7 linked regions of the Sus scrofa genome follow. The protein of the gene in region 4 interacts with the protein of the main gene of each other region in a biochemical or structural test. Links are inferred from orthologs where the notes say so. Each region holds a gene or a part of one and is shown on either strand. Other genes may lie near its edges.

The links.
Region 1: the proteins of RHOA (region 4) and PLD1 form a complex in vitro, tested with the Homo sapiens proteins (2 studies listed by BioGRID, with this or other methods). The link is inferred for Sus scrofa from reciprocal best matches to the Homo sapiens genes RHOA and PLD1.
Region 2: the proteins of RHOA (region 4) and MCF2 form a complex in vitro, tested with the Homo sapiens proteins (2 studies listed by BioGRID). The link is inferred for Sus scrofa from reciprocal best matches to the Homo sapiens genes RHOA and MCF2.
Region 3: the proteins of RHOA (region 4) and RTKN form a complex in vitro, tested with the Homo sapiens proteins (8 studies listed by BioGRID). The link is inferred for Sus scrofa from reciprocal best matches to the Homo sapiens genes RHOA and RTKN.
Region 5: of the proteins of RHOA (region 4) and KCTD13, one has a biochemical effect on the other in vitro, tested with the Homo sapiens proteins (2 studies listed by BioGRID, with this or other methods). The link is inferred for Sus scrofa from reciprocal best matches to the Homo sapiens genes RHOA and KCTD13.
Region 6: of the proteins of RHOA (region 4) and SMURF2, one has a biochemical effect on the other in vitro, tested with the Homo sapiens proteins (3 studies listed by BioGRID, with this or other methods). The link is inferred for Sus scrofa from reciprocal best matches to the Homo sapiens genes RHOA and SMURF2.
Region 7: the proteins of RHOA (region 4) and ARHGAP35 form a complex in vitro, tested with the Homo sapiens proteins (3 studies listed by BioGRID). The link is inferred for Sus scrofa from reciprocal best matches to the Homo sapiens genes RHOA and ARHGAP35.

What each region holds. Positions count from the first base shown.
Region 1 is NC_010455.5:110,373,520-110,377,608, reverse strand, and holds the start of PLD1 (phospholipase D1), read left to right. Parts: upstream 1-1,289; 5' UTR 1,290-1,533; intron 1,534-4,089. UniProt on the Homo sapiens protein: Function as phospholipase selective for phosphatidylcholine. Implicated as a critical step in numerous cellular pathways, including signal transduction, membrane trafficking, and the regulation of mitosis.
Region 2 is NC_010461.5:114,353,305-114,357,429, reverse strand, and holds the start of MCF2 (proto-oncogene DBL), read left to right. Parts: upstream 1-1,325; 5' UTR 1,326-1,475; coding exon 1,476-1,560; intron 1,561-4,125. UniProt on the Homo sapiens protein: Guanine nucleotide exchange factor (GEF) that modulates the Rho family of GTPases. Promotes the conversion of some member of the Rho family GTPase from the GDP-bound to the GTP-bound form. Isoform 1 exhibits no activity toward RHOA, RAC1 or CDC42.
Region 3 is NC_010445.4:68,605,060-68,608,559, reverse strand, and holds part of RTKN (rhotekin), read right to left. Parts: intron 2,034-3,500; coding exon 1,834-2,033; intron 1-1,833. UniProt on the Homo sapiens protein: Mediates Rho signaling to activate NF-kappa-B and may confer increased resistance to apoptosis to cells in gastric tumorigenesis. May play a novel role in the organization of septin structures.
Region 4 is NC_010455.5:31,928,708-31,932,207, forward strand, and holds part of RHOA (transforming protein RhoA), read right to left. Parts: intron 3,388-3,500; exon of another isoform or gene 3,372-3,387; intron 796-3,371; 5' UTR 794-795; coding exon 638-793; intron 1-637. UniProt on the Homo sapiens protein: Small GTPase which cycles between an active GTP-bound and an inactive GDP-bound state.
Region 5 is NC_010445.4:18,138,790-18,142,804, reverse strand, and holds the start of KCTD13 (BTB/POZ domain-containing adapter for CUL3-mediated RhoA degradation protein 1), read left to right. Parts: upstream 1-1,215; 5' UTR 1,216-1,405; coding exon 1,406-1,649; intron 1,650-3,986; coding exon 3,987-4,015. UniProt on the Homo sapiens protein: Substrate-specific adapter of a BCR (BTB-CUL3-RBX1) E3 ubiquitin-protein ligase complex required for synaptic transmission.
Region 6 is NC_010454.4:14,367,512-14,371,482, forward strand, and holds the start of SMURF2 (E3 ubiquitin-protein ligase SMURF2), read left to right. Parts: upstream 1-1,171; 5' UTR 1,172-1,240; coding exon 1,241-1,292; intron 1,293-3,971. UniProt on the Homo sapiens protein: E3 ubiquitin-protein ligase which accepts ubiquitin from an E2 ubiquitin-conjugating enzyme in the form of a thioester and then directly transfers the ubiquitin to targeted substrates.
Region 7 is NC_010448.4:52,710,112-52,714,262, forward strand, and holds the start of ARHGAP35 (rho GTPase-activating protein 35), read left to right. Parts: upstream 1-1,351; 5' UTR 1,352-2,102; intron 2,103-4,151.

The sequences.
Region 1 (4,089 bases), about 78 Mb from region 4:
TGTTTTCATGATGACACTTAGAACCTTGGGACGCAATATTATAGCCCACTGCTTCTCAATCAAAAGTGTTATAATTTCTAAATACAAGCTTGTAAGAGTGCATTGCTTGTATGTATAAAACTTATCAAATCATCTGTGACTAATAAAACTTGAGAAAGAAGGGGAGGAAAGGGTATTCAACCTTTCGGTAACATGCTTGTCTTATACTTGCCAAATTCCTCTTAGGCAATACTCTGTTCAGAGAGCCATGTGTTTAATTGTAAAAATCTGTCAGTCTCATAGGATTCAAAAGATATCAATCATTTTTGTCAACAAAGAAAAGAGTGAAGGCTATGTGACTCTTCTTAGGAAAAGATGTGCTCAAGAGGGAAAAAAATGCAGTCCAGGGAGGGCTGAGCAACTATAGGTTACAGGAAAACAAGAGTTCCAGACTATAATTTCATTCCTCCTCCTCTACTTTGGAGTCGAATATTATATTTTTCATTTCACATAGTTCCATGTGCTCAGTAAGATTATGCAACTCGGCCAGTCTCGGCCGTGCAATATCCACTAAATGTTTTATAGAGGCCATCAATATTAGCAGTTTGGGGTATGTGGAGGCCATAGCTTCCTTCGGCTTTGGCAGAATGGCAATGTTGTGTAATGAAGTTGGAGCTGGCCTATATTCAAAGCTATATTTCAAAAGGGCTGCTAGTCAAGCCACATGACAAGTGGTTCTTTTTTTCTTAGGACTTTATTCTAAGTGGCCATCAAAACTGCTGTATTACAACAGTTCCATGGGTGGAATGGGAATTTTCCATGTTTTACTCCTGATTTATTATTTTATACTAAGATTTCTGAATTATACCTTACTCGAGCTTTAAAGACATCAGGACACAAAGTTCAGTTTCCTGAGTTCTTGGTTGGGTGATCTTAGGCTGGTTACTTCACTTTTCTGCCTCAGTGTCCTTGCTTGTAAATTAGTGATACATCTACACCAGGGAGTTGGAAGAAAGCTTATAGATGACTTCGACAAAACTCCAACTCCTTAATTGTGTCACCTCAGGCAAGTTATTTCACTTTTTTTTTTTTTTTTAAATCTTAATCCCTACTTGTAAAATAGACCAATTGTGGTTACCAGCTACAATAGATTATGATTAGATACAAAGTTCCTACAGCAGTGCCTGGGCACTGGGCGGCTCAAGAGGACCCGATAATACAATAAAAATGCTAGCGAATATGCCCTCGGTTGACGCGGCTGGGTTATGAAACTTTGGGAGAAAAGAGAAACAGAAGCGGGGACCAGGAAAGAGGACCAGCTTCCGCGCCCTCCTGACCAGCGGGGCGACCAGCCTGCGCTGCGACTCTCCCGGACCGGCACCACCTCGCCCCACCCCTGCCAGGCCTGCGCGAATCCGGGCGGCGGCACAGCGCGGTCCCCAGTCAGGCCCTCCCTCCTTCCCTCCTCCCGCGCCTCCTGCGGTGCCAGCTGCGTCCGAGCCCCAAGAAACCGCCGCCGCCGTGCCGGTTCCTGCGGCCGCCCTCGCTCCACAGGTAGGAGCCGTGCCGTGGTCCGGGAGCCTGGATTCCCCCGCGCTCGCCCTCCGCCCCTCCTCCCGCCGGCCCCAGGCAGCTGGCTGCTCCCCGCCCAAGTTGGACGGGACCTTGGCAGTGGCGTTGGCGGCCGGCGCCAGCGCCGTGCGGCCTCGCAGGACCGGCTTCCCTAGCAGCCCCACGGGGTCTCCTGTGCAAGCCTTGGTCCCGGGTTCCTGCAGAGCGGACGCTGACAACTTCGGCGCGCACTTTTGTCAGGGCGAGCGGCTGCCTGGAGCGCAGAACCGTTCTGGCTCCAGGCCGAAGTTGGGGCGTGCTCTGCAGGATGCACCCACCCACCTCGCCGCCAGGGACCCCAGTGCCGTGTGTTGGATGCCTCTGTGTTACTTCGCGCGCCCGGGGTTAGCGTGCGCTGTGAAATGACCGGGATGGCGGGTGCGATGGGACTAGCATCCCAGACCAACCAGGAAGTGTTGCATTCCGAGGCTTAAAGCCCAGCCTGCCAGATGCACCGTCCTGGCGTGTGGCCACACAGCTGCTCGCGGGGGCGCCCACGAGATGATGACGCCAGGGTGGGGCTAGGGAAAGGAGGCAAGGAGCTGGGCGTGTGTAAAGAGATTTATTTTTCTCGCCCCATCTCAACGAATTTGTGGCTTAGGTCTGGGATCCAAGAGGGCGGTGCTCCAAGCCTCGGATAGGATTTTGTGACGCCCTTCGGAACTAACCCTTGTGGAATCAGCTCAGTACTACAGACACGCCTGTATTTGTTCCTTTTCCAAGTCTCAGATTATTGTCTTCTTTATTTCCTCTGTAAAGTAGTAAACGCAAGTAGATTTTTAAGGACGACAAGGGTTTCTACGTTTGCTTACCCATAGGTTTCTCCGCAGAATGAGGAATTCGCTAAACTTTACCTGCCGGGCCTGCCAATTAGTTTAGACCACCTTTTGAGTGCTTTCCCAGGGCTTTTGGGAGTCCAGGCACCTAGAGACCTTTGTGTTGGGTTTAATGGCTAGTTAATGGTAGTGCAATGAAAATGTAAGGCATGAAAAGAATCTACAGCTTGAGCTATGAACAGACACCACAATTACACACTGCCTATTTAAGAAAGAATTTCTTTCAGTATTCAATGTTTTATGATAACATATATAAAAGTGAATTGTACACAGGCTTTTAACTTGAATTTGCACTCAGCCTTTAAATGTCGTTTGGGGATCTTTTCCCTAATTGGTTGAGCTCCCAACCTGTCTTCTCAGGATCTGGTATAATTCACAATCCATATTAAAAAAATGTGAGTAGTTAAGGCTTTGAGGAAGATGTGTCTTTACCATGTTTGTCCATGATGTCAGACTATTTGTGGAACATGATGAGAAGTACCTGTAACGTTGGTTGATTGACTTATAACTAAGTAGTGGGGACTCTGTTCTTTGGAAGTTGTCTGATTACTAAATGTGTTTCTTAATTAAAAATTGTTATAAAATTCATTTAACTTTAATTATTACAGAGTTTTTAAAGTTATTTTATTTCATTTTATTTTTATTGTGATAAGATACATATAAAGTAAAAAAAGATACACATAATGTAAACTGCCATTTTAACCATTTTTTTGTATACAGTTCAGTGTCATTAAGTACTTTCACATTATTGTGCTACCATCAAGACTATCCCTCTACAAAACTCTTTTCATCTTTCTTTTGGATTTTAATAACATGTTATTGATAAGGATTGTGATGCAAGCTTTAGGTTTCTCATTAAGCAAGGTTTGAGTTCCTTTTCATAGCTTTAGAGAAATTCATTTTTAAAGAAGAGAAGTGGAAAGCTGTAGCCAGACTCTGTTTAGTAAATCTATTTATTTATTTAATTTTTTAATTACTCAAATGAATTTATCACATCTGTAGTTTATAATGATCATCACAGTCCAAAAAAAAGTAAATCTTTTTTAAAATTAAAGTACAGTTGATTTACAGTGTTTCTTCAATCTATTTAGTAAATTTAATCTCCATCAGGAAAGGATAAGCTTGTGAGCTATTTCCATTTGTAGGTAAAGCTACTGTGAAGTTTAGCCATCAAGTGGGCGAAACAAGTAAGAGAATTATTGTTGATAGTTTCATCTCCTTAGTATCTAAGAGAAAAATGAAATACTTTTGTCTTCTTAGCAGTGAGGTAGCGTGTTTCTAAATTATGCTTGAGCTTAGGTTGTCCACAGCTTTTTAGTAACCAAAAGCAGTTTTGATCAAGCTAGCGGCTACGTTGTAGCAATTTCCTTTCCACTCCAGGTGTTTACTAAAGATGTATGCCAGAGGAGCTAGCACATAAGATATAGCCCTTTAAATTGGCAGTTAGTCTGAGTCATGTAGATGAGGGGAGCTGGAGCTGTGAGAGCTGTGAGAGTTTTATGTTTATAATCCTATAAATTTTAGCACCGTGAAATAAAATGTAGTTTCTGCCACTGGTGTGAATGAATATTGTTGCAGAGTTAAAATGCAACAACTTGTAGGAGTTCCTGCTATGGCTCAGCCCGTTAAAGGATCTGGCCTTGTCTCTGTGGTGGTGAGGGTT
Region 2 (4,125 bases), on a different chromosome or scaffold from region 4:
TATTCAAGAGGGGGGCTGGAAAACATTCTGTCTGTGGACCCATTCAGACAGAGCTTGAACTGGCTAGAGGAGGAGGAGGGGGGGTGTGTGTGAGTGTGTATGTATGTGTTTTCTTCCTCTGCTTACTTTTGCCTTTTACACTTGCCTGCACCGGCTCTCGGGAGGTATAGATGAGTGATTCTCCATAGAGCGGTCGAAAGATCAACGTGGAACGACTGGCCTATGTAACATCTGAACACTGTCTTACTAGAAAACTTTGAAAAGGCTGAGGATTAAAGAAAGAAGTGGCACTCGCAGCTCTGCTAAAGGCTGCAAGCATTGCAGCAAAATCCTGGCGAATCTCTCCCGATAGCACTGACTTGGTTTCAGACGTGCAGGGTTTGTTTTTGTTTTTGCCACGCCCTGGGGCCTGTGGAAGTTTCCAGGCCAGCCATCAAAGCTGCACCACTGCAGTGGCCCAAGACGCTGCAGTGAGAACGTGGGATCCGTAACCTGCGGCGCCACAAGGGAACTCCCAGACTTGCACTTTTTATGCGGACGTCCCCAGGCCTGTCCTCAGGTGGCCGCTTCCTGGGCAGCACTCCTGCCGGGCCTGCTCACTCCTTTCCTTCCAGACACTTCGGAGCCCCATCTTTCATCGGGCCCCATCCCTGGGGGCTCTGGGGCAAGGCAAGAGCTCTGGCTCCTCTCCTTTCCCACTTGGCTTCTCGAAGGGGTCGCCTCCCCTTGCCTTTCCATTTTCCCGCGCTCTCTGCGTTCCTGAGCCCTTTCTAGAACGGCAGTCCCGCAGGGCCACTGGCTAGCGTCCTGGCTCCCGCGCGCGGCCAATCTCGGCCTCGGCCAGCGCTCGCTGGATGCCAGGGAAGCGCCGAGCCCAGCACGAGTTGCCATGGGAGTGCGAGGCCGGGCCGTCCCCTCCCACCACGTGTGCGCTCCGGGGCCGGCCTTCCCTCCGCTGACAATGGGCGTCTCTGCAGGGGTTCTCCCTTTAGGCTGCCCGAGTCCCTCCTCCACCTCCCCGCCTCCGGGCCTCCGGGAAGCTAAGCGGGGGCGTGTGTGCACACCCTGGGGGAGTTGCCCTCGCGGCTGCCGGGGCCAGAAACGCCCCGCCGGAGCCCCGGACTCCGAGCAAGTTCCCGGGCTCCGGGCGCCCCGCGCCCTCCGGCCTCCGGGCGCGGCCGGGCTGAGCGGGCGGGCGGGCGGCAGAACCCCCCGGCGGCGCCGGGCCGGACGCGGGGAGGAGTTCGGCGGCGGCGGCGGCGGCGGCGGGCCGGGGGGGCGGGCCCGGCCCGGCCTCCCGCTAGACGATGGCGGCGGCGGGCTCCCGGCCCCACCTGGGCTCGGCCGCCCGGCACGCGCCCGGGGCCCCGCAGCCGCGGACCCCTGAGGCGGACGGCAGGACGCCGGGCCTTCCCCAGGACCCGGACGGCTGCGCGTTGGTGCCGACCACCCAGGCCATCCCTCTGCAGGTGGACATGGCCATGGCCCTGCAGCGCGTGCGGATTTCCGAAAAGTACGGCAAGAGCTACCTCTGCCTGCTGCAGGCGGTCTTCGTCGCAGGTAAGTTCCCTCCTGGCGCTCGCCGCCCGCTGGCCTCTGCCTCCCGCCAGGCTCGCGCGCCCCTCGCCTCCCGCGCTCCATCCCCAGGCGCCCGGCCGCCCAGCACGCTTCGCCTGCCCTCGGGCCGCGAGCGCGACGGCCAGCCCGCCCGCCAGTTGTCCCTCCGGCCGCGGGCCGCGCTGCGGGGGGACTGTGGGAAAGTCCGGGAGGGGGTGTGAGGACGTCTCCGCCGTGGCTGCTTCGGGTCCCCGCTGTCCTCCTCACCCGCCTCGGTGCGTCGCCAGAGGTGGCACTAGACGGTGTCTTCCAAGCCCGCATCCCGCCCACCAGAAGCCGGCCTCCCGAGGGTGCACGTCCCTCGTAATCTTCCCCGCAGGCTGGAAAAGCGGGGGTGGGGTGGGGTTGAGACGTTTGGGGAAACCGAGTCCCCAAAGGCGCTGGGGTTCGGAGACTCTCCGCACTGCAGTCGGAGAAGTTGTAGAGAAACCGCGCCTCCGCCGGCTTGGACTTTTCACCAGGACGGGTGTGTCTTGCCAGCTGGGCCCAGGAGTTTCCTGCCTCCTGGGGTCCTAACCCCAAAGGCAGAAGTTTGGGGTTGTCTCTCGGGACAAACAAAAAGAGCCGACAAACCCACACGTCCTTTACTGCTACTGCCGTGGTTTGGTTGAGGGGTGTGCGCGGGGTACTGTGGACTCGGTCACTTGCCCGCGGTGATGCGCACACGTTTGCCTCGCGGGAGGTGCAGAGCTTTGGGGTTGGTGCAGCAGGCTCTGGGCTCCGAGGAGACAGCTCCCTAGGGGACCATGCAGACCGGGGCTCAGGAGCCACCCGAGAACAGGGTGCAGCTCTGGGGTTTTCAGACGCGTTTTCGAGGTACCGGCATTGCCGTGCCTGTGCTTAGAACGCAGCGTGTCACCGCTGCGGCCTGTCTGGATGTTCGGGTCTTGCCCGTTTGGGGTTGAAGGTGGGCGCGATTGGTTTCCAGGTGTAATCCGTCGTGAAGGGGCGTGGGCTGGCGCAGCGCACGCTCCTTCAGGTGTTGAGCATTTGAAAGGCCCTGGGATGCTGCGGCCGCCTCGCTCGTCGGAACGTGTGCAGCTCAGGGGGGTGTGGCAAGGGCTCTGCGTCTTGTGTTTGCTCCTGCATCTTCCTGAGAGTTCAAAACAAAAACAAAACAAACGTAAAGCTCCAGACAAGAAATGTCTGCTTTAGCACGGAACTTGTTAGGTAGGCTACGCACTCTGCGTTCACATTTCTACCGCCAGTGATTTCTTGTCTTTCTCTAAGTTGTGCGGGTGTGTCAGCTTCCATACCTTTGAAGGCTCCTGCATGTTGGCAGGCCCCTGTCGCCTCAGCATTATGACCCAGCACAGCAGCCAAATGACACCGGGTGCAGCGTTCCATTTTTAAGCAAGCTTGCAGGACTGTTCTGCCTTTTAGCATTTTTAGCTGCACGGTCTGGAGGACCGCCGGAGTGGCCTGAAAGTGGTCTGTGCTTAGGATGTTAGGGCACGCACCCTAGTGGGATAGTTTTATGTGTAAAAAGGATTTCATGTATCTAAAAAAGGTTCATCTGTTTAAGAAATATGTGTACAAGGCTTTTCACTGTGGTGCAGAACTTTCTGAGATCGTTTCGGTAATGACCGTTTAGACACTGCTCCCTATAGGACATGCTACATTGTAATAAGCTAACTGCACCTGCTTGTGCAGCATCTGCCGTGGGCAGCGAGGATGAGCAACTCTACTTAGGGCCCTAGCTAAGGGCAGACTTCAGGGAGAAGGTGATGTGTGACTTGAATCTTCAAGGATGCGCATGCATTTCCAGGTGGACTGGGGCTAGGGATGGAGGGTGGTGGGGAGGGGTAATCAGGCAAAGGAAATAAGATGCGCAAAAACAAGGAGAAAGGGGATGGCATCACATGTTTGGGAAACTTTTTCTTTCTTTCTTTAATGATTAGAATGTAAAGTGTGGAAAATACAGGAGAGAGATCACTTTGGGGAGGTAGACAGAGGCTGGGTCAGGCCCTTTGTAAGGCATATTAGAGGGCTTTACTTTGTAGGGCCAGGAGGAGCCACCAGAGTGTTGTAACCAAGGCCGCTATGTACCGTTGTCTAGGTTGTGCACTGCAAAACTGTGAACTGTGAACGACGCCCTTGCTAGGGTTGTATCAGGCACATTGTGCACCGTGGTTGACAGCAGCATTGCACAGTGGAGCGTCTTGCTTTGGGAAATGCCATCTGGTGGCTGTGTGAAGGACACAGTGTGTGGAGTGTGCCGCAGAGAGGAAGAAGACCGGGAATAAGGGGGCCAGTTAGAGAGCAGTTGTAGCAAGCTGGGCAGGCGTGGGCCAAGACACGAACTAAGTCAGTTCTGGGAATGGGGAGAAGGGGAGAAGCTTGAGGAAATGAGAGGGTAGAATTGATTTGACTTGATTTCGAGGTTTGAAGGACAGCGCAGGAGACTAGGTTAATTCCGGGTTTCTGGATGGGATGGCGGGATGGGAAGAGAGGTTGGGATATAGCAGGGAAGGGAGGAGGAAGAGGAAATTTGGGGTTTAGTTTTGG
Region 3 (3,500 bases), on a different chromosome or scaffold from region 4:
CTTGGGCCACCCCCCACAAGCACCCTCCCTGACCACCTGCCCAGACCCTGCCAGGGACAAGAGGGGCTTGAGGAGACAGGTGCCCAGAGAGAGGCTCCCTTTCAAGGACTCTTCTCCATTAATCCCCAGGCTTGCAGGATTTTGCAGGCTCTCTCGTTTTTTCTTGTTGTTTTTGTTTCTTTGTTTTTTGACTTTTCTGGGGCCGCATCCATGGCATATGGAGGTTCCCTGGCTAGGGGTTGAATCGGAGCTGTAGCTGCCAGACTTTGCCACAGCCACAGCAATGCGGGATCCGAGCCGTGTCTGTGACCTACACCACAGCTCACGGCAACGCCAGATCCTTAACCCACTGAGCAAGGCCAGGGATTGAACCCGAAACCTCATGGTTCCTAGTCAGATTCATTAGCCACTGAGCCACAACGGGAACTCCAAGTCTCTCTTTTTAACAATAAAGGAGGCTACTTGTCTCCACCATCTCATCACTTTGATAAAAGAGGGTACTGGCAGCCAGAAAATCAAGAACCTCAGTATGGAGCATTTGTGTTCCATTTGCCACGAACCTCTCTCTGTCCTCCCCTGAGCTTTGATTTCCCCTCTATCCTCCTGGCTAATGGGCCAAACCTTCCCAGTGGCCCGAGTTCCCCAGTCCCCCCACTGAAGGGGGGGACATCCACCTTCCTCCCCTCCCCACCCATCCTTAGGACCCAATTGAGCAAGTATCCCTCTCCTCAGGTGATGGCCAGCTTAGCTATACTAATTCATGATTCATCACAGTGAAATTAGTGACTAACTGATGTGGCACTGACGGCAGTGTGTTTGGCTGCCAGGGACTTGGGGTGTACTTCACATCCCACTCTGTGTGTGGGCCCTGTGTGTGGGCCCTCTGTGTGTGACCCATTGGGCAGGGCAGAGCCTTCAATGGTCCCCTCTCACAAGATAGAAAAGTCATAGTAGGAGCTGTCCCCATGCCTGCTGGCCCTTCCTTCAACTTTATGGAGCAGCAACTGAAGCTTTCCTCCTTCCCCTGGTGTCTTCCTGGGTGAGCTCTGGAGGGCTCCTGGCAGCCTCTTCTTGTGTCAGCCTTCCCGGCTGAGCTGGGATGGACACTCTGCCAGTGAGGGGCCCGGACCTTCTCGGCACTCAGCCTTGTGGGGCCAAGCAGGCTACTTTGCCACAAGCCAGTTTTCAAAATGACCAGTTTATCAAAAATGGCCAGTTCTCAGAATAATCAATTTTCCAAATATTTTCTCCCACGTTGTAGTTTTACCAGAGCCATCGCCTCAACCATTTCACTGCAGATTTGTCAGATCAGCAGAGTCTATGGTCAGGGTAGGCTGGGCTTCACATCTAAGAGGTGAGTCTGTTTAGAATGCACAGTCTAATTACGTGGATGGGTAGGCGTTCCCTTATTATGTTTTTTATTTCCCTTCCCAATCCCTACCTCGGATGAGGCAAACCCCAGGTACAGTGAACTGTTGTCAGTTACAATAAATTGGCCATTTAGCAGATTGGCCATTCGGTAAACTAGCTTGGAGGAAACTAGGTTTCCAGAAGCCAGGCAGCCCGCCTCATTAGATCACAGGCAGGGCTTTGCAGATTAGGGCTTTTGCATTACTAGCCCTCAGACTGCCAGCCTTTCACCAGACACACTGCTTTCCTGAGCTCAGCCCTAGCAATTCACTAGCACACCTCTGAGCAGCACACTGTGGTGGCAGGACGCCAAGGTGTCTTCCAGGCCCGTGGTAAGTCTTCATGAAGAAGCCAGCTTCAGGGCAGTCCATGTACACACTGCACTGCTACCCCCCATAAAGCCTCGCCTCCCCCCTTGCTCACCGCCGGCCTGTCTTCCCCAGCACCTGCGCCTCCTTGCGCCGCTGAAGCTCGCCCATGTAGCTGAGGATGCGGCTGTTGCACACCAGCAGGCTCTTGGTGGCCTCCAGAGCCTGCTCTCGCTGGGAGCAGGCTGCCAGCAGCTTACAGGCCCCTTCCCTCATCCGGATCTCATGGTCTAGCTTTCTCTGCAACTCTGTGTCCTAGCCGGAGTCGGGAGAAGGATGAGAAGGACATGTCAGTCAGGGGACAGGCTGGAGCACCCTTCAATCCCCAAGTGGGCTGTCACCTACTAGAAAGTGAAAGGAACGTGTTTAAGGCAAGAGTTGAGTCTCAGCTTCAGCTGCCCAGGATTAAGCAGAGAAGCATTGTAAAAAATATAGATGCCCTCTGGGAGTATAATTTTTTTCAGCCTCTTTCGAGTGCAATTTGGGAAAATCTGTGAAACCTACAAATTCACATGTCCTTTAATCCAGCTAGCCAATGTCTAGGAGTTTATCCTAAAGATATAGTTACACTTGTGGGCAGAACCATATTTATTGCAGCATCATTTTAAACACAATATTAAAAGTCCTTTGGAGTTCTCTTGTGGCACTGCATTGCCACTGCAGCAGTCTGGATCACTGCTGTGGCGCAGGTTTGCTCCCTGGCCTAGGAACTTCCACATGGTGCAGGTGCAGCCAAAAACATTAAAAATTAAATTAGAATGTTAAAAAGTCCTTCAATAGGGTATTGGTTAAATAAGTTATAGGCTGTCTATACCACAGAACATAGAATATTGCAGACATTAAAGAGTAAGGTAGATGTGCAAAAATGAAAAAATCTTCAAAATATATGAAGTGAGATAAAGTAGAACAGTATTATAGCATGCTACCATTTATGCAAAAAATAGATATAGATAGATATAGATATCTCCTTAGATATGCATAAAATAGTAGTAGTTGTAGCTCTGGGAGCCAGAAATGGAAAACCAATTTATGATACTTTGTATAATACTCTTCTTTACTATGGCCCTGTTAGAAATTGTTACCTTTTAAAAAATTAAATCTTCTGAGTTTAAAAAAAAAATCACCAGGCCTCACCTCAAACTAGCAGAATAAGAATCTCTAAGACAGGGGCATTTGCCTTTTTCGGAAAATTCTCCAAGGGACTCTGAGGTGCAACCCAGGCTGAGAATGACCACAGATAGTAAAGTCCATCCTGGTCTACCCCAAAGATTCGCAAGATGAGAGAGAACATCTAGTTGGGAAGGGGTCAGTGGAGAAGGAGCATACTACCTGCTGTGTTTGCTCATGCTGAACAGAATGCACTACACACCCCAAATCTGGGGACCTGCTGGCCCCCTTGAGTTTGGGAGGTGGGGACAGAGGCAAGGGATGGGGATGGGGAGGCAGGTGAAGCAGGAGGTCAGGAAGGAGGAGCTGAGCAGGCACTCAGCACAATGCCCAGCCTATGGTGTACATGAATGGTGGAGGTGTTTATTTTAACGACGCTATTTCAGCCCCAGTAGCATTCACTTAGTAACACTGGAGCCTCCCTCTGTGGTCCAAGTCTCCACATCTGGGAGGTGAGATATGCAGGCATTAATGGCTGCGCCTTAAGTGCCAGGTCATGGCACAAACACACTCACAGCAAACAGACCCTATTTGCTCCTGGATGAGGTGATGGGG
Region 4 (3,500 bases):
TTCCCAATGTGAAATACATATGAATATGGCGGTAGTTCTCATCAAGCCCACCTGTCCCTTCTGCAGAAAGACCCAGGAGCTCCTCAGCCAATTGCCCTTCAAAGAAGGGCTTCTGGAATTTGTCGATATCACAGCTACCAGTGACACCAACGAGATTCAAGATCATCTCCAACAGCTCAAGGGAGCCAGAACAGTACCTTGGGTCTTTATTGGTAAAGCGTGTATAGGTGGATGCATGCACTGATCCAGTAAGTATGCACTAGAGAGGGGAGCTCTTGACCCGCCTGGAGCAAATTGGAGCTCTGAAATAGTTACAGAGCAGACCCAGGCTGCTGGAGTCTGATAGCCCCCTTGAGAGCTGGATGGCAGTGCAGATAATGACAGCGCTTCCTGGTGGATGGACACAGGGCTACCTTCACCCAGCTGCAACAACTGTTTACTTAAAATTCTGAAATGTGTTAACCCAAATAATTGGGGGGGGGAGTGGGATTTGGGGGGAAAAACCAGATTTTTCTTCTGACTCCATTATTAAAAGTGGATCAACTTGCCCCCCCCCCCAAGAGGCCTAATTCTCTACAGGCTGTATGAATAGCCTAACATGCAAAACAGTACCAATTGTTATGCAAAGTATACTCACCTGCTTTCCATCCACCTCGATATCTGCAACATAGTTTTCAAACACGGTAGGTACATATACCTCCGGGAATTGGTCCTTGCTAAAGACAATGAGCAAACAAGTCTTGCCACAGGCTCCATCACCAACAATCACCAGTTTCTTCCTGATGGCAGCCATTGCTGAAACATAAAATCAAAGTGTTGTCTAGAATGCACAAGAAGCCATAATAGTCTCAGGCCATGACAAATACTTTTCTGGCCATGTGGCACAAGCCTTTATTAACACATCAAAATACAAAATGCTGGAGTTCCTGCTGTGGCTCAATGGGATTGACAGTGTCTCTACTGCTCATGGGCTCAGGTTTGATTCCCAGCCTGGTGCAACGGGTTAAGGACATGGTGTTGCCACAGCTGTGGCGTAGACTCCAACTCCAGCTTGGATTGCCTGAGAACTCCATATGACACGGGGTGGCCGAAAAAGGGGGGAAAAAAAAGAAAATAAAACACCAGTATACCTTTCCACTTAGGACCAGTAAGTCATATCAAAAACCTATAACTAACATTATACTTAATGGTGAAAAGACTAAAAATTGTCCTGCAAGATGAGGAACAAGACAAGAATGTCCACTCTTTTTTTTTCTTGCCTTTTCTAAGGCTGTACCCATGGCATATGGAGGTTCCAGGCTAGGGGTCAAATCGGAGCTGTAGGCGCCAGCCAGAGCCACAGCAACGCAGGAGCCAAACCACGCCTGGGACTTACACCACAGCCCACAGCAACGCCAGATCCTTAACCCACCGAGCAAGGCCAGGGACTGAACCTGCAACCTCATGGTTCCTTGTTGGATTGTTAACCAATGAGCCATGACGGGAACTCCAAGAATGTCCACTCTTGACACTTCCATCCAACATAATATTAAAAGTTCTGGCAATTAGGCAAGAAAATGAAATAAAAGACATTCAGATCAGAAAAGAAGAAGTAAAATTATCTTAATTTGCAGGTGACATGATATTATACATGGGAAATCCTAAAGGATCCACTAAAAAACTATCGGAACTAATAAATTCAGCAAGGTTGCAGGATACAAAGTCATCACACAAAAAGCGGAGTTCCTATTGTGGCTCAGCAGTTAACGAACCCGACTAGTATCCAGGAGGATGCGGGTTTGATCCCTAGCCTTGTTCAGTGGGTTAAGGATCCAGCATTGCCCTGAGCTGTGATGCAGTTTGCAGAGATGGCTAGGATCCCACGCTGCTGTGGCACTGGTATAGGCCGGTGGCTACAGCTCTGATTGGGAACCTCCATATGCCACTAATGCAGCTCTAAAAAAACAAAACAAAACAAAACAAATCAATTGTATTTCTATACCCTAGCAATGAACAAATTGAGAATGAAATTAAGATTTTATTTACAATAACATCAAAAAGAATAAAATAAGAATAAACTAAGCACAAGAAGTACAAAACATACTCTGAAAACTTAAATACTGTTAAATGGGAATATCCTACAAATTAATCTACAGATTTAACACAATCACTATCAAAATCCCAGCTAGCTTCTTTGCAGACACTGACAAGTGATCAGAAAATATGCATGGAGGGAGTTCCCTGGTGGCTTAGCAGGTTAAGGATATGGCATTGTCACTGCTGTGGTTTGGGTTCGATTCCTGGTCCAGGAACTTCTGCATGCTGGGGGAACAGCCAAAAAAAAAAAAAAAAAAAAAAAAGAGAGAATGGAAATTCAATGGACTCAGAATGGCCAAAACCATCTTGAATAAGAGCAAAGTTGCAGGACTCACAATTCCTGATCTTAGAACTTACTCTAAAGCTACAGTAATCAAGAAAGTGTTGCACTGTTGTAAAGACAGACAGATATACAGCAGAAACTGGCACAACACTGTAAATCAACTATATTTTAATAATAATAATAATAAAAAAAAAGATATGAGCTGCCGCTGTGGCGCAGAGGAAATGAACCCAACTAGTATCCATGAGCATGCAGGTTCAATCCCTGGCCTTGCTTAGTGGGTTAGGATCCTGTGTTGCCATGAGTTGCTGTGCAGGTTGCAGATGTGGCTCGAATCCTGCATTTCTATGGCTGTGGCATAGGCCGGCAGCTGTAGCTCTGCTTTGATCTCTAACCTGAGAATTTCCATATGCTGCAGTGTGGCCCTAAAGAGACACTCTCCCCCAAAACAAAACGAAACAAAAAACACATAGATTGGAGTTCCCATCGTGGAGCAGTGGTTAATGAGCCCAACTAGGAACCATGAAGATTTCAGTTCAATCCCTGGTCTTGCTCAGTGGGTTAAGGATCCGGCGTTGCCGTCAGAGACGCAGCTTGGATCCCGCTAGATTAGACCCCTAGCCTGGGAACTTCCATATGCCGCGGGTGCGGCCCTAGAAAAGACAAACAAACAAAACACACAGATCAATTGAGTAGAACTGAAGAGTTTAGAAATAAGCCCTTGCATTCAGGGTCAAGTGATTTTCAACAAGGATGCCAAGACAATTCAATGGAGGAAGAAACAGCGTTTTTAACAAATGGTGCTCAGACAACTGACAACTGAATAGATACATGCAAAGAAAGGAAATTAGAGCTCACATCAGATGAAAACTAGCTCAAGATGGACTACACTCCCAAACATAGGAGCTAAAACTGCTGAATGTTCTTAAATTTAAAAAAACAGTAGGAGTTCTTGTCGTGGCTCAGTGGTTAACGAATCTGACTAGGAAACATGAGGTTGCGGGTTCAATACCTGGCCTCACTCAGTAGGTTAAGGATCCAGTGTTGCCATGAGCTGTGGTGTAGGTCACAAACGTGGCTTGGATCCCGAGTTGCCACAGCTGTGGCATAGGCCAGTGGATGCAGCTGTGACTGGACCCCT
Region 5 (4,015 bases), on a different chromosome or scaffold from region 4:
AGGAGTTTTTTCTGAAGCTGGTGTCCTATAAAATTGTTTATGCTCAACAGGGCAACATCATAGCCTAGCTTATAGTGTCAGGCCCCCTCATAGCAACAGAGGCTTCTGAAGGAATAGTGAAAACTGGGTCCCAGTTGTCATGAGCTGCTTTTCTCTTTCTCACCAGCTACACTTGAAAAATCAGAATTGACAATATTGCCCTTTGGGTAAAACATGGGCTCTCCAGGCTAACACAGGCCCTGTTACTCCCTAATACCTTGTAACTGGTTCATTCCACTCATTTACATTCCTACCTAGCCCCTGCCATTTACATTTGCACACGTCACTCAGCAGAAAAGAAACCAAACAAGCCCAGAGAGAAGTAACACTGCCGGTGAACTGATGGCCAGGCAGAACTACAGCTTCATGCTTCATTTTCCCTCCAGCAGATTCTCCTGCTAGACATTCAGATCGACTGTTAAATGTCCCAGGTATCAGCCTCTCAACAGAATGCAGATGAGATCAGATTCAAACACTTCTCGCCACACTTTACCAGCAACGTTTTCCTAGCTTATTTCTTTCTTCCAAGGTTGGGTGTCTCACGACATAGGCTGGGATTCTAAAACCCTTGTCCAGGTTGCTCTAGCCACCCCTGACCTTCTTTCTGCCTGTTAAATATGCCAAGTGTGTCTGGTTTACGGGTCTTTGTATTTGCCCCGGGCTCTTCTTGGAACTCTCTGCCCTCCGCCTCCACATAGGCGTCTCTTCTGAGCTTCAGCTCAGTATCACTTCCTCAGAGAAGCGCTCGTCAACGGACGACCTCATCTATTCACATCCTGCATGCCCTACCTAGCATTACTGCCACCTCCTCTGGGAGGCCACCTCCGTCTGGCCTCCCTTAAGAGCTCCCCTTGGGGCTTTCGTTCGCAGCTGTCAAATGCGCGGGGCCGGGAGGCGGGAAACTGTGCCCCAACCCCTTGCCTCTCTGGGCCCCTTCCCCTTCACGCCCATGAAGCACCCTGAGAGTGGAGATACGCGAAGGGGGCAGTGTTTTCCACACAGGCAGGTGGCCAAGAGCCCTACTTCGAGTCTCCCGGACAGGCGACCTGAACACACCTCACGCGGCGCCCCGCCCTCCCGCAGCCCGCGCTCGACTCCCTCTGCCAGCCCACCGCCACCACGCATGCTCCTCCCTCCCGGCCGCGCGAGGTCGGGGGCGGGACCTTGACGCGCCTGCGCAGTTCTCGCCCGGCTTCCGGGCGGTTCCGGCGCGATGATCCAGAGGGCCAGTGTCACTAAGTAGCGGCGGGGCTTAGGGGCGTGCGGGCCCAGCGGTCCGGCCCAAGGGCTCGGGTCCCGGGGTCTCTGGGAGCGGCCGGAGGGTGCGGAGACAACCAAGGATCGTCGCCCGCCGCCGCCACCAGGCATGTCGGCCGAGGCGTCTGGCCCCGCAGCGGCGGAGGCCCAGTCCCTGGAAGTTCCTAAGCCCGCGGGTCTCGAGCCTGGCTCCGCCGCCTACGGTCTCAAGCCCCTGACCCCGAACAGCAAGTATGTGAAACTAAACGTGGGCGGTTCGCTGCACTACACCACGCTGCGCACCCTCACGGGACAGGACACCATGCTCAAGGCCATGTTCAGCGGCCGCGCGGAGGTGCTCACTGACGCCGGAGGTACGCGAGCCGCCCTTGCTTACTGTCCTGCCTCCTCCAGATCCCCGTCTCCCTTTTCTCCCAGTCTTTCTTCGCCCAGTCTTCTCACGCCCCTTCTCTCTTGCCGTCCAGTCAACTCATTCTCACTTCTTCCATCCCCTACATCCCATGGCACCTCCCTTTTCTCATTCTTCATCCCCTTCCTCCCTCGGTCTTTACACCCAGCAGTAGTAACCAGCAAATTCTCAACATGTTAGGACCAAATTTTCATTACTGCTCCCCACGGACTCTTCCACTCTTTCCTCCTCAGCTCAAAAGACTCGGGAAGCAGCCCTGGTGCCAACAGCACCCTTCCAGGCAACCTTCATCAGTTTCTTCTACCTCAGCACTGCCAGCAACCACCCCCGAGAGTTGGAGGACCTAACACAGGTCCCTACACTCTAGAAATCTATCTGTAAATAACAGACTGTCAGAGGAGAGGGCTGCTTTGGGTTTGCCAGGGACGCCAGAGTGGAGAGTGGACAGTTCTCTCTGGCAGGCGAACCTTACCTTCTCAAAGTGTGTCGCAGTCAGGTTCGGGCTCCATATGCTCAAGGGGAACCTTAAAAGTCCAGGGAGGGGGATTCAGAAGAGGTTAACAAGGATTGTGAGAGCAGGAAAATTGAAATTGGGGAGGCAGAGCTCAGTCTTCAAATATCTGCAGGTGAAGAGTTTATTGTTCAATGAATATTGGCAAAATGCCAGTTAGTGTAGGAGATAGTTTGGTAAATGAATCTGATTAAGATGAGCCTTATGGAGTTTTCTTTTTTGTGGGGGTAGGGAGAGACAATAAGCAAGTAAACATACCAAAACGAAGACAGAAACATGTAATTCCAGATGGCAATGAGGTCTATGAAGAATACAAAGGTTAAAATGGTAGTGGAGAGTGGGGTAGCATTCTTTTTTTTGTCTTTTCAGGGCCGCACCTGTGGCATATGGAGGTTCCCAGGCTAGGGGTCCAGTCAGAGCTATAACTGCCCGCCGGCACCACAGCCTCAGCAATGCAGGATCCAAACCAAGTTTTTGACCTACACCACAGCTCACAGCAACGCCAGATCCTTAACCCACTGATCGAGGCCAGGGATCGAACTGGAGTCCTCATGATACTAGCCTGGTTCGTTAGCTACTGAGCCACGACGGGAACTCCCCCCCCCCTTTTTTTTTTGGTCTTTATAGAGCTGCAGGTGCAGCATATGGAAGTTCCAGGTTGGGTCGAATTGAAGCCGTAGTTGCTGGCCACAGCCACAGCCACAACCATAGCACTGCAGGATCTGAGCCATGTCTTCGACCTACACCACAGCTTAGGGCAACACTGGATCCTTGACCCACTGAGTGAGGCCAGGGATCAAACCCGAGTCCTCATGCATACCAGCTGGGTTGTTACCACTGCGCCACAACAGGAACTCCCTGGGGTAGCATTCTAATTCAATAGGATGATCAGAAGTAACACGAGGTAGAGGTTTATTGATACGGTAATCCGGAGGAACTTTCTCTTGGTGAGAACCCTCCAGGTATAGAACAGATGTGGGAGGGAATTACTTCTGTGTGTCTGGATGTGTTGAAAAGGGGCCTGTGGGAGATCTCACTGGAGATGTTTTAAAGGCATTTTCTTGGAGTTCCCATCATGGCGCAGTGGTTAACAAATCCGACTAGGAACCATGAGGTTGCGGGTTCGGTCCCTGCCCTTGCTCAGTGGGTTAAGGATCCGGTGTTGCCGTGAGCTGTGGTGTAGGTTGCAGACGCGGCTCGGATCTCGCGTTGCTGTGGCTCTGGAGTAGGCTGGCCCTACAGCTCTGATTCGACCTCTAGCCTGGGAACTTCCATATGCCGCGGGAGCAGCCCAAAGAAATACCAAAAAAAAAAAAAAAAAAGACAAAAAAAAAATAAAGCCATTTTCTTGGATATGGCAGAGGCTTGAGACAGATGAGCATTTAGATTTTGTAGCTTTGGAGTCCTTTTTTCTTTTCTTTCCTTTTTTTTTTTTTTTGTCTTTTTACTATTTCTTGGGCTGCTCCCATGGCATATGAGGTTCCCAGGATAGGGGTCGAATCGGAGCCGTAGCCACCAGCCTACGCCAGAGCCACAGCAACTCGGGATCCGAGCCGCATCTGCGACCTATACCACAGCTCACGGCAACGCCGGATCCTTAACCCACTGAGCAAGGGCGGGGACCGAACCCGCAACCTCATGGTTCCTAGTCGGATTTGTTAACCACTGCGCCATGACGGGAACTCCTGGAGTCCTTTTTTCATTAAAATGTAGTAACTCCAGGGCCTTCAGCAAAGCCATCCTTCCTTCTGCCTCTCCCCTCCTCACCAGGTTGGGTGCTGATCGACCGGAGCGGCCGC
Region 6 (3,971 bases), on a different chromosome or scaffold from region 4:
TGTCAAGAATAACTTCCTAAGAGTGCAATTGCAATTACATGGTCAAAGGGTAAGGTACACTTTTTTATTTCAGCTTTTATTTTCTCCTTCTGAGATAACGAAATACAGTTCTGCAGGAAAGCTTTCCATACATTGTTCTCCAAGGCTTATCTTGTTAATAACCCCTTTAAGGCATTATCATCCTCCTATCCTTGCACTACAGCTGAAAAAAGAGCCCAAGTAGGCTGGTAACCTGATCTCATTCACCAGGTGAGTCCTGAATGAAGGTGGCAGCTATGGTATCAGTTGCAAAACACCCCTGGGGATTTGCTGGAACCCTCGGTGTGTCTCTTCCCTCACCCTAGCGACGTTCAACCCAGAGGGCTGCGGATTTAGTTCTAACTTTGCTCGCCCCAGCCTCAGAGAGCCCCTTGCACGCAGTGGGCGTCTTATAAAAGCAGTCTGCATTGCACGGACAAAAGCTCTCTCTATTAAGTGGGCCAAACGCTAAGGCCCTCCTGGCGGCACAGAGCTCCGCGCCAACACCCTGCTCCTTTGTCTACTCCTTCCTCAAGTTCTGCGTGGCATCTTCTGCAACCAAGCACACCGGCCCGGACCGCCGCGCCCAGGCCGACACCGGGCCTGGCGCCCCTGCGCCCCGGGCACCCGGCGCGCGCCCGCACAGGCCCCGCCCACCGGCCCCGCCCTGCCCCGCTGGCCCCGCCTCTCGTCTCCTCCTCTCCTCCCCCCCCCACCCCCCCGAGCAGACGAGTGGCGGCGGCGGCCCCAGGACCGGGTTCCCTCAGACAAGAGGGCGGGTGGAGGAGGAAGCGGCCGAGCCCGAGTCCCGCTCCGGCGCCGCCGAGCACCGCCCGCCTCAGCCCATCAGCCCCGTCGGCTCCTGGGCCTCGCGGAGCCGAGAGGAGGGAAAGGCGGAGGCGGTTGCGTGGAGGCGGCGGGGTGCGGGCGGAGGCGGCGCGGCCGGCCGCGGCTACCGCTTTGTTGTGCGGCCCGGGCGGAGGAAGGAGAAGTGGGAGGAGGGGGGAGCTCGGCGTCCCGCTCCCTCCGCGGCTCATGGCGACGACGCTCGGCACATCCGGGACCCTCCGGCCGTGGCGGCCGCGGCGCCGGCTGCTCGGGCCCCAGCCCCGGCCGCTGTGGTGACTGCGCCGCGCCTCGCCGTCGCCCCCGCCCCGCCCGCCGGCTCCGGGCCCCGCGTCGGGGCCGTAGCCCCGCCGCCGCCGCCCCCGCCGCCGGGGACATGTCTAACCCCGGGGGCCGGAGGAACGGGCCCGTCAAGCTGCGCCTGACAGGTGAGGGGGTTGGGCGGGCGGCGGGAGCCGGGCTGGGGCACCGGTGGGGTGAGCAAGCTGGCGGGGGGTGCCTGTGGCCTTGAGAGGGGCCAGGGTCGCGATCAACGGTGAGTTGGGGGTCGGGGACGTGAAAGGCCTAGTTCAGGAGAGTAATTGCAAAACCACTCTCCCTTGTTTGGAAATTCTTAAAAAAGCCACGGGTGACTCGGGGGTCTTTTGTTGGGGGGGGGGGTGTCCCGGATTGGAATTCCGGGAGGTTTTGAGGTCGAAAAGCCGTGGCGAAGAAACTCGGCTCTCTCCCGGGGCCTCGGGGAGCAGCCCCCGGGCTCCTGCCCAGCTGGGGTCGTCGAGAGGATGAGGAGCTCCTGCGGCGGGGATTATTGAATCCGGCTGCTGGCTGCGCGCAGTAAACACTCCTTAAAGATGGAGCGCTTAACGGGAGGGTGTGTGTGTGTGTTCCCTGGTTGTTAACTTGTTGGCCCACTTATGCCCGCCTGCAAAACCTTTCCTCTCTGCTGCCAGCGGCGGCAGCCGGTGCCACACACCTGAGACGCACGACTTTGAAAGGGAAGGAGACTGAGGTTGACTTTTCCGGTGTGTCTGCCTGATCCGACGACTCGGGCGCATTGTACACTCTGTGTTTTGGAAGTGTTTGATTGTAGGGTAACATGCTTGGGGTTGTTCCTTGTAGGCCGCAGAACTTGTGTTTCACTTCTAGCTCTAGACCTGCTTTAAAAACACATTTTGCGGGTTGGGGGGGATACATTTCTATATACGTGCTCATATAAACTTCAGCGAAGCAAAGTTTTTCTCGTTCCCAACTCTGCACCCCTTTCCTTTCTAAATGGAAAAGAATGGAAGGGTTGCTAGATAGCAGGCTTTTCTTACGAAGTGTTTATGATTCCAAGGGTATTAAATCTTTAACGTTACAGGTACGTTTTGCTTACAGTGCTATTTTTTTTAATATTCTTACATGGTCATGTTACCCCATTTTAAGGAAAAATTGTTTTGGCTTTGAAAAGAGTAGAGACCAGTGTATTTATTCCTAGTTTCAACATTCACTGTTAATAAATTACCCACGTTGATATTCGGATTTGTCATGAGAAAAATGGCTTTCTTTAGAGAATCTGTGTGTACGTGTGTGGGGGTGTGTGTAAGAATAAACTAATTATGTTCGCCTACAGTAGACTTTGAGATTTATATGGACTAATTTTGTAATTGAGTGCTTGTGTGTCACATCCCAGTCCACTGGCTGAACTTTGAAGATAAAAACGTGCAGCTGAATTAGGTATTTGAAAATTTAGCCTTGACTGTATGTTGGCTGCAATTTTTAAAATACATTACTTTCATGACAGTTTTGCTTTCCCTAGGGAAAACCCACAAAAAATTATTAACTGAGTGGTTCTTAATGGAAAACCTGGGTTGCGGGATGCCTGTCCCCTTCATTTCCCCCATTCAGTTTCCTTATTTTCCTATGAGTCAATGGAAACCTTTATAAGGGATCTTTGTTGCTTTAGAGTTTATCTACTGCTGTTCCTCCCTGGAGTTAGTCTTGTGCCCGTGATCATGGAAAGAACCTGTGATTCCAGGTGTGCCAAAAGCATCAAATAGGCTGGTGGCCATTTAATTCCTTCTAGGCTATATTCACAATAGAAAATGAGGGAGAAAATGAGGATTTCGATTTTCTGCAAATAAAATGAGTTTCAGGTTTTTAGTGTGACTTAATCTTAAAGTGTTTTTCTGTGGTTTCCTTACTGCATATGATACATTATAAAAAGTCATGAGTAAAGTTAGGATAAAGATTACACTTATTTTTTGGAGGGAGGTGGAATACTGGGCTAATTTATAGAGTGATTTTGTATTTTTAGATTTTTCTGAGGAATTTTTAATACACTGTATCCCCTTAATTGCAAAAACAGTTGGAGATACTGTCAGTTTCTTAAAATCGTTTTGTTTTGAATTTGTCTCTGTCATATGTCATATTTTAAGAGAAAACCATTCAAATATTAAAAACATTGTCCTCTCCCTTTTGGTTACATATGGTAGATTCTCTTCTGTTTTGCCAGGAAAGTTAACGTGTATTTTTTCATTTTTGTTCATTTACAAATTAGATGGTATAGATTTTAACAAATAGATTTCAAGAGCTGGATTCAATTAGCAGCTTTTTAGGACATAAACATTAAAGAGTTAGATGGAAAAGATTGTTTTGACTGACTGGATAAATGACAGGGCTGTGTTTGATGTGCGTCCAGGAATTGGTCTGGAGCTGGTGCCCAACTTTTCAGTCCGTCTTGAGAAGCCAAATAAAATATTTAACCTAGGCCTCATTTTGTTTAAAAAAAAAAAAAAAAAGGTTGATTCTTTGTTAAGACTTTAAGAAATGTTTGGCATACCTTTAGACTAAGTGTTTAACAGTTCATTTAGATCCGGGTTCCATAATAGAGGAAAATTACTTAAAAAAAAAAGTGGATTCCATACTGAATTTTTATTTGGTTTACAATACACGTGGTCTGTAAGGTGATTTTAAATTGTTCTTTGCTTTAAGTTAATACCATGCTAGTATTTTAAATTTATAGTGCCTTTAATTCCAAGGTGCTTTATGAATTGTAGTTACTCAATTATATCCTTAATGTAGAGGTGCCCTTTTACTGAAAGGTGTAAACAGTTCTTGCATGGTAT
Region 7 (4,151 bases), on a different chromosome or scaffold from region 4:
AATGAATCCAACTAGGAACCATGAGGTGGCGGATTCAATCCCTGGCCTTGCTCAGTGGGTTAAGGATCCGGCGTTGCTGTGAGCTGTGGTGTAGGTTGCAGACGGGGCTCGGATCCTGCGTTGCTGTGGCTCTGGCGTAGGCCGGGGGCTGCAGCTCTGATTCGACCCCTAGCCTGGGAACCTCCATATGCCGCGGGCGGGGCCCAAGAAATGGCAAAAAGACAAAAAACAACGAAAACAAAAAACAACGACTAGCATCCGTGAGGACAAAGGTTTTTATTTATCAACTTTTTAAATTTTTTTATTTTTATTTTTTGTCTTTTTGTCTTTTTAGGGCCACACCCACGGCATATGGAGGTTCCCAGGCTAGATAGGGGTCTAATGGGAGCTACTGCTGCTGGCCTACGCCACAGCCACAGCAACGCCAGATCTCAGCCATGTCTGTGACCTATAGCACAGCTCACGGCAACGCCGGATCCTTAACCCACTGAGCGAGGCCAGGGATCAAACACTCAACCTCATGGTTCCTAGTCGGATTCGTTTCCGCTGTGCCACGACAGAAACTCCATCAACGTTTTTAGAACAAGCCATGATTTTCTGTGCTTTACACATAGAACTCCTTAAATTCTCACAACAAACCTTACTAAAGAGATAAGATTATCATTCCACTTTTTACATGAAGAGACTAAGAAACGAAAAATGCAGTAAGAAGCATAGCGTTTCTTCATGCATTCCTTAAATATTGACTGAGCTCCCAGAACGCTCAACTTCCACGATCCGTACTTCCGGAGGGATCCCAGAGGAACCCCTCTTCAGTTCACAAGAACTCTGGGGTTATAGCAGTGCCCCTTCCCATCACTAATATTTCCCCTCCGGGCGCCCGAACTGACATTTGACTTGCAGTCATTTGCACAATGCTGACCTGGAGGACCAGGCCCTCGCCCCTCTCCAGGAAATCAGGGCTTCACAGAACCCACAGCAAGTCTTAATAACTCGCACATAACCTGCAGATTTTCCTCACTGCTTGGGAAAATAGCACGCGCTCCTCAGCACCGCCCTCTCTTCCGGAACGACGAAATGCAAGGTTCGGATTGGGCTAAGGCGGGCCACGCCTCCTCCTGTTCCCCAATCAATTCCCTCACTGGGTGCGCTCCCTCCTCCTCAGCTCCGTCCCACCGCCCCACGTTACGTCGCTCCCTCTTTCCTCCTCCGTTATCCCGGGGGCTGCGCTCGCGCGGCAAGCCCACCTCCCTTTGCCTCTCATTGGCTGCTCAGGTCCCGCGCGAGCGGGATCGCGCCCTTCGCCCCCGCCCCCAAAGCCGGGCCATGCCTCTCTCCCGTTTTCTCCAAGAGGCCGCGTGAGGAGGGCATCGGCTGCTTCTGGCGCGCGCAACGGTGCGCGCGCCCCCCGCGGACCACTCCCTTCGCCTCAGCGCGAGTAGACGCTGCGGCTGGCATCCCTTATCGCGCACGCGCAGTTGCCCACCCCGTTCCTTCTGCCTCGCGCTGCCTCGCGCCGCAGCCACCGCAGTAGCGGCATTTTCTTGGGGCGCACGCGCACTGCGCCCTGTGCGCCCGTTCCCTGGACCCGGCCGCTGCGGTAGCAGTGAGCCCCTCGGGCGCGTACGGGCTTTCACTTCTCCCCCACCCAGCGCGGGTTATTCCCTCGCGGCGCGCGCTCAGGGGCCGTTATCCCCCTGCAGAGGTCCCCGCACCACGCACGCGCAGTAGCGAGGGGGCACGCGCGCGGGAGCTGGGGCCGCAGGAAGGAGGTGCCGCTGCCGCCATTGCGAGGGAGGGAGGGAGCGAGCAAGCGAGGCTGGTCCGCCCTCCCCCTGGTTCCCGCCCCTCCCCCCTTCCCCTCCCCGCCCCCCGCCCCGAGGGAGAGCAGCGGAGCGGCGGGAGGAGGAGGTGGAGGAGGCGGAGGAGGGAGCCCGCGAGGGAGGGTCCGCCCGGCCCCCCGCCGCCGGAGCTGCCGCCGCCGCCGCCGCCGCCGCCGCTTCAGCCGCCGCTGGACGAGGAGCAACAGAACATGGCGCCGGGGCCGCCGTCGCCGCTCCCGGGAATCCGGAGGCCGGGGCCGCGCTGAGGACGTCCAGCTGGTGAGTGCGCGAGCTCGTGGGCCCCGGTGGCGAGGCCGGGCGCCGCCCCGTTGTGGGGTCCAGGGGAAGGCGGGGACCGCGGGGCCCGGAGCCCGCGAACAATGGAGGAGCCGGAGGGGGAGGGGAGGGAGCGGCCCCCCAGCCCCCCGGGCCCCGCCGCTTCGCGCTGTGGCCCGGCCCGCCGGGGCCCGCCTGCCCTTCGGACTTGCCCCTGCCCGCCTCAGCCCTGCTGTCGCCGCGTCTGCCCCCACCCTCCGACCCATTGGGATCTCTGTGTCTGCCTCGGCCTCCCCCTTCCCTCGGCCACTGCAGCCACTCCGCTCGCAATTCTGCGCCTCCCCTTTCCCTCTTCCTTCCCTCAGTAATGCCCCTCGCCCCTCCCGGACTCTGCAGTGCTCATGGGACCCACCTCCTCCGTGACCCTTCCGCATCCCTTAATTCTGGACCTTCACATTCTGGTTCGTGACCCTTCTGCCTTCTCCCGTTCCGCTCTCAGCACCCTGCCCCTGCCCCCTTCTTTGACCGGTCTGCTGTTACCCTCTCTTGCACCCCCTGGAGCTGTCCCTCTAGGAACTGCGGTTCCACCTCCTTGGAGATCCATCTGGGACCCCGTTTGTCTCGGCACTGCTGCCCCAGGTCTTCTCTTTGGACTTAATTCCATCTCCCTCTTGGGCCCTACTGTCTCCTCGCAAAATCTGTCCCACACCTCCCCCCCGGATACCCCTTTGGGCTCTCTGACCCCTGCCTCTCAGATGCACCTTGCCTGCCTCCTCCCTTAGTCAAAATGTGTCATTCACATCCTTTCCTCTCTTCCAGACTTTGCTGCCTCCCCTCTCTGCCCCTCGTTCAGTCTCAGATCTTGCTGTGCCCTCCAGCCTGCTTGCTTTCTGACTTTGCCTTCCGTGAAGCAGCCTCCTCCCCCTTCTCTGACCCTGCAGCTCTCATTTCTGCAATTCACTTCTCTGACCTTTCTCCCTAACTCAGCCTCTCTGCAGCCTCACGCCCTGCAGTCCTTTCTGCCCCGGTGTTGTCCTTGCCTGTTGCCTCTCCATCTCACCTCCTTATTGGCCCTCTTTTGAGCTGTTCCATTCAGTTGCCCCCTTTTCCTTTGACCTGTTTCCCCTTCAATTCTCTGCTTAAGACCTGCTTCCACCCTCTATCTCCAAGTCCTGTCCTCCACATTTTGGCTCTTCTTAGATTTGCCCTTTACCTTACTGAATTATTGGTAACTTCTCTCTGATCCATCACCCCCTCCCTTCCTGTTGTGCATCTCAGACCTGCCCCGATCCTTTTTGCCCCTGCTCTTTCATTTGTTCGCTTCTGCCTCATCCTCTCTATTTTCCTTCCAGCTCTACCCCTTTTGGAGCTGTCCACTTGTCTGCCTATTTTGGGGATCCATTTTAACTTTCCTGCTGCTGTCTCCTCTTGGAGTGGTCCTCTTTAACTCTGGTCATGTTGGTACTGCCTCGCACCTCTGTTGCTTCTAAATTCTAAGTTTTCCTACTGATCTCCCCCCACCATTTTGATTCCCCTCTCAACCTCCAGTCTCTCCTTTCTTGTATTTGTCCCCCTTTTTTTTGCCCTGCCCCTCTTACCTTTTTAAGTCTCCTTCCCCCAGCTCTGCCCCTTGTAGAGATGTTTTCCCAATCATTCCTACCTTTCATTTCACCCACCCCCACCCCAGCTCCCTCTTGGAACTGCCCAGTTTTTGGCTAGAGTCTCCCTCCTTTTTGCCATTCCTCTCTCAGTTCTGTTCTTCATTGCCTTGTTTCCTGCTGGGCTCCTTCTCTTCCCATTTAGTTCCTGTCAGACTTGCTTCTCCCACCTGCCCCCCTTGACTGCTTCTTCCCCCTGGGTGCTTCGCCTCTTCAGGCATGCCTTTCTCTGAACTCTGTCCCTCAGCTTTGGAGGGCAAGGGTCTGGGTTGGACCTAGGCTTCTCCAGACTCAGGTTTAGACTGCAGAGTCTCTCAGCGCCCTGACCCTGAGGGTTTTATCTCCAGGGATCCTGTGAGATCTCTGTAAATAGGTGGGGTTGGTTAATTGGTTA